Linked DNA regions of Sus scrofa. The protein of the gene in region 3 interacts with the protein of the main gene of each other region in a biochemical or structural test. Links are inferred from orthologs where the notes say so. Each region holds a gene or a part of one and is shown on either strand. Other genes may lie near its edges.

Region 1 (3,646 bases), on a different chromosome or scaffold from region 3:
CGGAAATGTCATAAAGACACAAACTTTTCCGAGGTCAAACATTGCCAGGGTCATGGCGGAGCGAGTGTGGACGCCACTCCCAGGCAGGCAGCTGCCCGGCGGGGCGCCCCACCCGCACCCCAGCCCCAGGGCCGCCGGCGCGCCCACGTGCTATCGGAGCGGGGCCGGCGGGGGCGCATGGCCCTTCTGGGCGCGCGGAGCGAGTGCGGGGAGGGTGCCTGCTTACCCCATTGGTGCGGGGCCTCCCCGGGCCCCTCCGCTCCACCATCTCCGGGCCCGGGGCCGTCGCTGCCACCGCCGCCGCCGCCGCCGCCGCCTCCACCGCGCGGGGCTTGGACATCTTCCTGCCTGGAGAGGGGGACCCGGGGGAAGCGGGGGAGGGGGCGCTCAGGGCGCGGCGGGGCGGGGAGCGGGGCCGCCCGGGCCGGGCGCCGCGGCGGCGCCTCCCGCCGCAGCCATATTCCGAGGACCCGGCGGCGACGGGCCGCCCGTGCCGCCGAGAGGCCGAGGCCGGCCGGCCGGGCCAGGCCGGGGCCCGCGTCGCCCTCCCGCCGCCCGGCCCGGCCGGGCCCCGCGCGCCGCCCGCCCCCCGCGCGGCCGGGCCCGACACACCCACCTGCAGCCCGGCCAGGCCCATGGCGGCGCGCCCCTCGCCCTCGCCGCCGCCGCCGCCGCGGCCCGGCCACCAGCGCTGCCGCTGCCGCTGTTGCTGCTGCTGCCGCCGCCACCAGCGCCGGCGCGGCGCCCCGGGGAAGGGCCGGCGGCGCCCCACGGCGCCCCCTTCCCCCATGGCCTGCGAGGCAGGGCCCGGCACCCGCGCGCCGCGGCAGCCCGGGCCAGCCCGGGAGCGAGGACGCAGGGAGGGAGGCGCTGGCGGCGCGTCCCCCGCGGCCCGCCTGCTAGCCGCCGCCGCCGCCACCGCCCACCGTCCGCTCCCGGCCGGGGAGGGGGCTGGCAGGGGCGGTGCTGCAAGGCTCCTCCCGAGGGAGGGAGGAAGGGAGGGGAGCGAGGGAGGGAGGGCGGGCCCCGCGGCCGCGACGAATCCCGACTCGGGCGCGCCCCCTCTCGCACGTTCTCAGCCACTCCGGGAGGAAGGGGTGGGAAAAATGATAATGACAGCCCCGGCTTTCGCCCGCCAGGGTCCTTCTCTGGCCCGCTCCTCAGATATTTCGGGAGACCCGTCCGAGCCAGGCGCAGTCAGCAGCGGTGAATGCGACAGGCGAGAGAGCCCTCCGGGGTGCCCGAGCCTGTGCTCACAGAACGTTTTCCGGGCACTTAATCTTTCCGGCAAGTCCGGGGGGGCAGGTCCTGTGCATAGCCCGTTTTGATGAAGATACTGAGCCTCTGGGGAAGTGCAGCTGCTTGCCTAAGGCCACCTGAACTAGAACATGACCAGGTCAGGTGTCAAACCCACTTGGTCTGCACGGCACCGGTGCAGACCCTGGGGAGACAGAGCCAGGAATTATAATGGTGTGTTTGCTGGGTGCTTCTCTTGCATATCTTATCTCAGTCAAACCTCACAGCAGCCGGGTGAAGGTAGTCACCATTATTACCTCCTCCACAGATAGGGAAAATAATGCTCAGAAAAGTGAGAAGCTTGGCCAAATTCTCAGAACTAGAAATAGATTTCCAGGCCAACAGACCCCAGAGGCTGTAGTCTTAGCCACTATCTTCCTGGTTACAGATGAGGAAATAAGTAGGAAGGAGCAAGTGTGTTAGAGAACGGTTTAGCAAGTCACCCAAGCCTCCTGTCCCCCAAAGAGAAAATGTCTGAGGCAAGCAGGAGTTCTAGGCAGTGCAGTTATCTCAGCATAGCTTATTGCCCTGAACCACTGTGCTGTAGCGTAGCCATTGGGGTTTGAGGGCCCACAGCCAAAGAGTCTCTGTATTTGTGCAAAGTCATAGATGCAAACAAGACACCTCAGGACATCTAGCCTTGGGTTATGGCCTGGAAGACAAAGATTGGGTATCTCTCCCTGCATCTGCCCCAGAGGTGCTTTGAGACCCAGTCTAGATCTCAGCATCCTCATGGATAAAAACCAAGAGCTATGGGAGTTCCCGTTGTGGTTCAGTGGTTAACGAATCTGACTAGGAACCATGAGGTTTCGGATTCGATCCCTGCCCTTGCTCAGTAGGTTAAGGATCCAGCGTTGCTGTGAGCTGTGGTGTAGGTCACAGATGTGGCTCGGATCCCGAATTGCTGTGGCTCTGGTGTAGGCCGGTGGCTACAGCTCCAATTTGACCCCTAGCCTGGGAACCTCCATATGCCACAAGAGTGGCCCAAGAAATGGCAGAAAGACAAAAAAAAAAAAACAAAAACAAAAACCAACAACAACAGCAAAAATAAACCAAGAACTATGAATTCCATAACCCACCCAGGGCACCTTCCAAAATCCACAAATAAACAAATGGCTGTCACTTTAAACAGCTGCCTCCCCTTAGAAGGGATAAGAGTGGATTAAATGGCAAGACACTGCTCAGGACAATGCCTCCCAAATCAGCTCATGCTTTAGCATCCTTCAGAGCAGGGCTGAGGAGCCCCTCCCCCATCCCCACCCAACCACTAACTCTGGTGGTACTCTGCCCACATGAAGACTGAAGAGACTACACAGAGAGTTAAAGAGGATTCTAAAGCGACATTCTGGCACCCAGGTTGAGCTATTTGAAAGTGTCTGTTACCTCTGCAGAGCAGAACAGGTTTGTAGTTTGATGCCAAACTATTATGGAAATCATGATTTGGAGGCAGCAAGCAGCTGCTCAGATCATCTTGTCCACTTCTCATACTATTTTAACTCCCCACCCCCACTACACACACACACACACACACACACACACACACACACACACCACACACACATACACACACACACTCATGGCTGTAGTTTTCTCCAGCCTACAAATGCAGGGCATACATTAAAATGCAAGTCTAGTACCTATTCCTCTCAATTCTGAAGCTCTAGTACCTAGAAAATGTAGTAGAGATCATTCAGTGAAGTTTCAAAACATGTTTTCTCTGTACATGAGGTGTTCACACATATATAACAAATACAGGAGTTCCCGTCGTGGCGCAGTGGTTAACGAATCCGACTAGGAACCATGAGGTTGCGGGTTCGGTCCCTGCCCTTGCTCAGTGGGTTAACGATCCGGCGTTGCCGTGAGCTGTGATGTAGGTTGCAGACGCGGCTCGGATCCCACGTTGCTGTGGCCCTGGCGTAGGCCAGTGGCTACAGCTCCGATTCGACCCCTAGCCTGGGAACCTCCATATGCCGCGGGAGCGGCCCAAGAAATAGCAAAAAGACAAAAAAAAAAAAAACAAAAAAAAACAAAAAAAAAAAAAACCAAAAAAAACAAAAAAAAACAAATACATTTACCAATTAACAGAAAGAAAATCTCTTACTGTTGCCCAGGATCTCATAGAAACAGAATTCAGGAATTCCCTGTTGGCACAGTGGGTTAAGGACTCGGCATTGTCACTGCTGTGGTTCGGGTTCAGCCCCTGGCCTGGGAACTTCTACATGCCATGGGTGCGGCCAAAAAAAACCAAACAAACTAGAATTCAACAGCAACGATACTAATAGCTAACACTTACTGAATTTTTACTGTGTTAGCCCTTATAATATAATATGATGCATTATTTAATCTAACC
Region 2 (3,646 bases), on a different chromosome or scaffold from region 3:
CCCAGACCCAGGCCTGTCACGTGCTGGGTGCTGGGGAGCAAGGACAACAGTGTTGGGATCCAGGAATCACCCCGGTCAGGGTCCCTGCTGCACAGAGCAGCTCCCCCAGGCGGACAGGGTCTCCAGAAAACAGACACCCTCCTGTTCAGAGAAGCCCACGTCCTGAACTCAGGGTTCAGGCAGCAAAATACCTCGACACGGCGGGTCATGAACTAAAGAATGGGATAGCCAGAGCACCCCAACATCGACACCCTGACAACACTGGGGCTTCCCAGATGCTGAGGTAGAGGAGAAGCCCACACAAATGTGTTCTTTTTCGGTCATCCTGTGGCACATGGAGTTCCCGGGCCAGGGAGCGGATCCCAGCTAGTTTCCACCCAGGCCACGGCTGCAGCAACACCAGATCCCTAACCCATTGTGCTGGACCAGGGATCGAACCTGCGTCCTAGTGCTGCAGAGACACTGTCAACCCTGTTGTGCCACAGTGGGAACTCCCACAAATGCACACTTTTGTTTTGTTTTTGTTTTTGGTCTTTCTAGGGCCACACTGGCAGGATATGGAGGTTCCCAGGCTAGGGGTGGAATTGGAGCAGCAGCTGCCAGCCTACGCCACAGCCACAGCCACCCCAGATCCGAGCCACATCTGCAACCTACACCACAGCTCACGGCAAAGCCTGATTCTTAACCCGCTGAGCGAGGCTAGGGATCGAACCTGTGTCCCCATGGATACTAGTCAGATTCATTTCCACTAAACCACGATGGGAACTCCTGAATGCATTCTTAAACTCTGTAGGCATCCTAAGAGAGACGCCCCAAGCTGGCAAGACCCACGCCTGCCTACCAGGTCTCGGGGGGGTGGGAGTGGGGGGGGCACTTACTTTCTCAAACTCCAGCCGGATGGGCGCGGGGAAGTGGCCAGACACCCAGTCTGCGGCCTCGCGCCCCAGGGCCATCGCCTCGGCCACAGAGGAGACGCCAAATCGGCACATGACGGAGTCGGTGTCGCCGTACACCACCTGGGGAGGGGCGCATGTGCCCGGGGGAGGCGGGGAGACGTCGTTGGCCCCTGCGCTCTCCACACCAGCCCCAGGCCCAACTCAGGCGGACAGGAGGAGGCCCCACCTTGGCGCTGGTGCCGTAGCCGTTCTCCACCGTGTACTTGGACTCCACCAGCTGCTTTGTCTTCTCGATCATCTGGCGCCCGAACCCAGTGACGCTCTGTTGGGGAGAGAACCACGCGGCGTGAGGGCCCAGGGGCCACACAGGATGGTAGTCCCACTTCCGCTGCTTCCTACGGGTGTGGACCTGGCGGGTGCGCTACTCCGCCACCCTCTGGGTCTCAGCTTCCAAACCTGCGAAATGGGGCTGCTGAACTGCTCCTTAATGGAAAGAAATGGATCCCCGGGCCAGAGCTCAGGGCAGAGGCGGAACTGACTGCAGTAAACGAGCAGCGGAAAGGCTGGAGCCAGACGAGGCCATCAGCTTGGTATTTCTCTCCACATCCAGCGACATTCCGGGTAGCTCTCCTGTCCGAGGCGCAGGACCCTGGACCTTCCTGGTCCTGCCCGCCCATCCTTGGGCAATTGGAAGTGACCCCACCAGCTGTTAAATGCCTCCCCTCCAAGGGAGGGGGCTGTACCAGTGCCTCGAGAGAGCCCATTCGTCTTCAATAACCTTCTACAAATAAGGAAACAGGCTGGGAAAGGAGGAGGGACACACCAAGGATAAATGGGTGTTTCTGTTTGGATCCAGTCAGAAAATCCTGGTCTTTAAGGACAGTGTTTGAGCCACTTATGTTTAGTGTAATCACCAATTGCATCTGGGCTTAAACCTACCACTGGACTGTCTTTCATCTGTTCCGCCTGCTCTCTGTTCCCTGTTCTTTCCTTGCCTTTTCAGGAATGACTCAGTATTCTGGCTGTGTATTTGTTTTCCTTCATTCCCCTGCCCCCATAAGCTTGAGAGACAGAAACAGGGAAAGAGGCTAAGACACCAAAACAAAACAGAGACAGAGGGAAGGGGCTGAGAGGGAGATGAGAGAGAGAGAAGGCCAGGAAGCAACAGCTGCGATGACGAGAAGCCCCAGGGGAGGAAAAGCCCCAGCCTCCTGCCTGGTCTCCCCATAGGGGGCTGGAAGCTGATGATCAAACACCCACTTCTTTCCACCAAGGAGGCTGGAGGTGGCCCCCAGGGATTAGGAAGGGCAAGTCCGCGGGGTAAGGGTGGCCTGTCTAAGAGATGCACTTTGCCCAGAGAGGCACCTGGCTCTTTGTGGGTGCTTGGGAGCCCTCGGCATGTCCTGCTTCACAAGCGTCTTTGTTCACTTGGGACCTTGGGTCACACCAAGTGACCTGTGCTAATGTGATTTACGGCAGGGACCTTGGGCCACATGGGATCAGTTTGACCTCTGGACGGCCAGGAGACTGAGTCACTAGGGTCAGTCACACGGGGCTCCCTGCCTCCACAACTGATCTCCAATAAAAACCCAGGACACCAATGCTCAGGTGAGCGTCCCTGATGGGCAGGACCAGGTGTGTGCAGCTCAGCCTCCATGCTGGGAGGAACAACACCGTCCACAGGAGCCGGGGGACACCTGGGAGCTTGTGCTTGGTCCCCCTGGACTCTGCCCCACGCGCCTTTCCTTTGGCCGATGTTAATCCCCAGCCTGTCGCGGCAATAAATCACAACCATGAGCTTAACTGCTTTTCTGAGCCTCTGAATCCTTCTAGTGAATCACTGGATCTGAGGATGGGCTTGGGGGCCCCTCAACTCCAAGTGTGTACAGGGGGTGTGCACAAGGCCCCTCCCAGCATAAGTGGCCCCAGCCCCGCCTGCTGCCCATTCTTCCAAGTCTTTCACCCAGAGCCATGTGAGGACACAGTATCAGGGAGGGAGCTCCCCGTGGCTGGAGGTAACCAAGTCTGGAATATGCCAGGCCCCAAACCCTAGGGGAAGGGGCTACACAGAAGACTTTCCTAAGAACCTTGTAGGCCAGGAGCTGAGGCACTGAACCCAGCTTGGCAGAATTTTGGAGACCCAGGCCCCCTGTGGTCTTGCCTTCCTGTCTGAGCAGCAGAGCAAACAGGCCTAGGATGCTGCTGTGGGCAGGGAGGGAGGCAGTGGGCTTTTCTGCCCACACTCCTCTTGGAGCAGAACACTGTTCTAGCATCTGCCAAGCGTCCCCACTGGGGTGCTCACGCAGGGACAAGACGGACACGGAGGACACATAGCATATCAAGTGCAAGAGCTTGACAAGGCCGCTGGCTGACCTCCGGCCTTGCCCTAGCCCCCTTAGGAAGGGGGAGGAAACCTGCTCTCTGCTCCCCTCTCCTCGTGGGGACCAGGGGAGGAGATGGGCTGGGGTGGAGACTGCCAGGGACCTAGGGTCTGTTAGGTGGCTGTGTGACAGACGGAAAGAATGAGCAAGACTGCTGCCCTCCCTCGGTCTCGGCCTCCGCCCACCCCGCCCGGCCACGCCCGTCCCTCTCCGACTTTATCTACAGAACCCCTGGCACCAATAGCTTTGCGAGCAGCATTTACTGCTGGCTGTCACCATCTGTATTCCTGGTAGGCTGGGCAAGTGAGACAGGAACTCTTGTCCCATGTGTCACCTGCTGGACCCACAGGGCACAAGGCCCAACCCACA
Region 3 (3,746 bases):
CTGAGATCTCGGCATATACGTGCAAATTCACCAGAAGGCATCTTTACTACACAGCTGTACTCTTGTTCCTATGAAACAAGGAAACTTAAGTTCAATGAATGGAAATGAAAGATTTGGCACCCTTACTGTCTGAAGACTCAGCATTTAAACAAGAGAATTTAAGGTTTTCTAATTATTTTGAAATATCACTTTGTGTAATTTCTTAACATACTCTAACCACTCAAAACGTAAACACAGTTATAGAACAAGAATGTTATAAAATAATCAAAGGAAACAAATAAGAACTTGAACTTTTATAGTAAATGCACTGTCCAGGGAACAAGAGCCTCCCCTTAAATGATCTACAGGGTTAAATCAAGAGAACATTAGGGTATAGCACACACACAATGACGGTGCTAACAGGCCGTCATTTTTTTGAAAAACAAAACAAGAAAATACAATTACTAGGCATATTAAACATCCAAACCCTCTTCTCTCATTTAATGTTGATAAACCAAAGCATAATGAATTTCTGCTAAAGTAGCTTTAAAATGTACTCAATAAAAAATTAAGCATTGTAGGAATAAAAAGAAGAGAGTCAATTAGGTTAATGCAAATATGCATGTGGCAGCAATCAATTCAAAACAATGAGCCATTGCAGAATACCATCATTTATATCAGTCTAAATACTCGGATTTGGAACATACATGAGCAGATATACAGAAAAAGCTCTTTTAGGAAGTAGGCTTTATTATATTAATATATTTTATGTAACTATCATGACTGTATGTAGTATGCTCAATCAGAAACTTTGATACTCACTGGAATTCCAAGTTGCTCAACATCTAAATCCATTAACTTCATTTCATAGTCTGAAACCTTTTCCTGATCTACCAAAAGAAAGCAAACGATGAAGAAAAACATGTAGGTTTATAATTGTGATAAATTTTACAATTACCACAAACTATCTTAAATTTCTCTCAGCTTTGGGAAATAAAGACACTGCATTCTAATCTCCTCTAGCATTAACTCAGAAGGGTGTAACTTACTTGGAGCTTCAAACACTAGTGCCAAGGTGTCTGCATTATCTTCTGCCCTTAGCGTAATGATGTCTTCATTGCCAGCACATTTTAGTATTTTGGACATGCTGGAACACAGGAGACAAGAGTTTAAAATCGACACCATCTTCTCAAGATCGTTAGCTTTCTAACTCAATTAAAACCATGAGTTACCACTTTTAACCACTGGACCACGTGTCGAATTGGCGAGTTTGGGAAACGTACTGCAGGAAGATGTAAGAGAGTCCAGCCGTTTTGGAATGCAATCTGCCAGTATTTATACTTATACGAAAAAGCCCACACCCCACAATGTGCAATTTCGCTTCGGGATATTAAAAAAAAGACCAGTATTTTAGAAAGTACAAATCCCTTTGGTGGGTGAAGTAAATTATTGGGCCGCGACGATCTTAGATTTTAATGTACCCACTGAAGCACCAGTCTATTATATTGAGTGTAGCACGGGTAAACACTTTTCACAAGCTTTAAAACTTAAACATGTGTATGTACTAGGAAAGGTAGTGATCAAAAAGTTTAAAACCACTGTCCTTCCTGGAGAAATTTTTCCTCAAATCCAGGATCTTAGGATGTTCACTGCAACTTTGCGGTAAAAAAGTAAGCTATTGTCCATATCACGGCGACAGAAGTAGGGCAAATTATAAAGCGGCTCATCTAAAGGCGCCTGCAATTAATAACCAAGGGCTCCGCAACAATCTTTTCCTGGCACCGCGAAGAAGCCCGTCGTTTTCCCGCCACCACTTGCTTTGTGACTTTGGCGCGGAAACAGCCGGTTCGCGCTGCAGTCAGCGCGGGCTTTCCGAACCGCGCGCTCTGCTACTGGTCCCGCCCCCCCGCCCCGCGCCACAGGCCAATAAGAAAGGTGCAGATATCCCACGCCAGCCAATAAGGGCCCGCCTTATGGGCGCTCCCGCCAAGAGCGGAGGTAGGGGTGTCCGCGGGCCCGACAGTCTGCGGCTTCGGGACTCACCTGGTGAGGTTCACGCCCATGGCCAAATTGCGGTCGCAGCGGTACGTGTCGAAGCCCTCGGAGCGCAGGGTGAGCTGCACCAAAGAGACATGAGACGAGTCCATGCTCTGCAGGTTCACGCCGCTGGAGCTGATGTCCCAGCAGGCCTCGTTGATGAGGTCTTTAAGCGCTTCCAGCACCTTCTTCAGGATAGAGCCCTGGACCAGGCGCGCCTCGAACATGGTGGTGGAATCACAACGACGCGGCTACAGGTGGAAGAAAGAAGGAAGGAGTAGCCGGCTTAGGCTTCAGAAGTTGAGAGAGAGCAGGAAAACACCACAACAGAGCCTGAACCGGAGGACGCACACTGCCAGCCGGCCGCGCCTGCAGCGGTTTAATACAGCCGCGTCTGCGAGCGCGCGCTACGCCCCCACGCCCTTCATGGCTACGTCACCACGCTGCCCCGCCCACTGCCTGGGCGGAGAGGCTGCGGAGCCAATCGTGTCCCTGCTCCACATGAAGCCCGTCCCACCCCGAACATCCATTGGAGAGTGTGGGCGTAGGGGCGGGGCAGGAATCTTGCGCCTAACGAGGGCCTGCTGATAGGCATCCTGCGGGGCTCCCCGCCTTTTTGTCGTGTTCCGGCGCCCGGACGTTAGACAAGTCGGGGCAAGTGTGAAGGTCAGGCCTAGGCTTGGGGGGGGGTCGTTGAGGTGGCTTTGTGGTGCCTCATCAATTTCCCGCTTGAGGGATGGGACATTTACAGCCTTGAAAGTGAAGGTGAAACGGAAATCCAGCCTTCTAGGAGGAAGAGCCACCATGCGCCTAAAGAGTATAGCTACTTTAAATATGCACTTTTTTCCCCCTGCTATTATAGAGTAGCAATTATAGAAGCGTTCCTAAAAGTGAACAATAAAGAGATGTACAGTTATGATTAAAAGAAAACAGTTATCGTGGCTCCCCACTGCCATCGCCTCCCCCACCACACACACACCAAACTATCGTTTACTGCATACAACTTTCTAAGCTTTTTTTTTTGTACAAATGTACTTTTAAAAACAAAATTCAGGAGTTCCCGTCGTGGCGCAGTGGTTAACGAATCCGACTAGGAACCATGAGGTTGCGGGTTCGAACCCTGGCCTTGCTCAGCGGGTTAAGGATCCGGCGTTGCTGTGAGCTGTGGTATAGGTTGCAGATGCGGCTGAGATTCTGAGTTGCTGTGGCTCTGGAGTAGTAGGCTGGTGGCTACAGCTCCGATTGGACCCCTAGCCTGGGAACCTCCATGTGCCGCGGGAGCTGCCCTAGAAAAGACAAAAATAAATAAATAATTAAATAAAAACAAAATTCAGGGAGTTCCCCTAGTAGCGCAGTGGAAACAATCCGATTAGGAACCCTGAGGTTGCGGCTCGATCCCTGGCCTTGCTCAGTGAGTTAAGGATCAGGCGTTGCCGTGAGCTGTGGTGTAGGTCACAGACGCGGCTTGGATCTGGAGTTGCTGTGGCATAGGCCAGCAGCTGTAGCTCGTATTCTACCCGCAGCCTGGGAACTTCCCTATGCCTCGGGCGCGGCCCTGAAAACAAAAAACAAAAAAACGGTTTATACTGTAAACACTTATGCAAAATACTTAACAAAGTATGTTTAATTTTATGCCACGTACTTCTTTTCTACATCATCATCTCTTTAAAAAAAGATTTACCAATTTCTTGTAATTCGGGCAAGTCTTTGAGGTAGTATTGCTGGATCAA

Evidence for each region.
Region 1: the proteins of PCNA (region 3) and KMT5A form a complex in vitro, tested with the Homo sapiens proteins (4 studies listed by BioGRID, with this or other methods). The link is inferred for Sus scrofa from reciprocal best matches to the Homo sapiens genes PCNA and KMT5A.
Region 2: the proteins of PCNA (region 3) and POLD1 form a complex in vitro, tested with the Homo sapiens proteins (4 studies listed by BioGRID, with this or other methods). The link is inferred for Sus scrofa from reciprocal best matches to the Homo sapiens genes PCNA and POLD1.

The regions. Positions count from the first base shown.
Region 1 is NC_010456.5:29,536,988-29,540,633, forward strand, and holds part of KMT5A (N-lysine methyltransferase KMT5A), read right to left. Parts: intron 687-3,646; exon of another isoform or gene 638-686; coding exon of another isoform or gene 617-637; intron 349-616; coding exon 227-348; intron 1-226. UniProt on the Homo sapiens protein: Protein-lysine N-methyltransferase that monomethylates both histones and non-histone proteins. Specifically monomethylates 'Lys-20' of histone H4 (H4K20me1).
Region 2 is NC_010448.4:55,264,771-55,268,416, reverse strand, and holds part of POLD1 (DNA polymerase delta catalytic subunit), read right to left. Parts: intron 1,219-3,646; coding exon 1,123-1,218; intron 1,017-1,122; coding exon 879-1,016; intron 1-878. UniProt on the Homo sapiens protein: As the catalytic component of the trimeric (Pol-delta3 complex) and tetrameric DNA polymerase delta complexes (Pol-delta4 complex), plays a crucial role in high fidelity genome replication, including in lagging strand synthesis, and repair.
Region 3 is NC_010459.5:14,140,301-14,144,046, forward strand, and holds the start of PCNA (proliferating cell nuclear antigen), read right to left. Parts: upstream 2,285-3,746; 5' UTR 2,244-2,284; coding exon 2,023-2,243; intron 1,127-2,022; coding exon 1,029-1,126; intron 870-1,028; coding exon 802-869; intron 69-801; coding exon 1-68. UniProt on the Homo sapiens protein: Auxiliary protein of DNA polymerase delta and epsilon, is involved in the control of eukaryotic DNA replication by increasing the polymerase's processibility during elongation of the leading strand.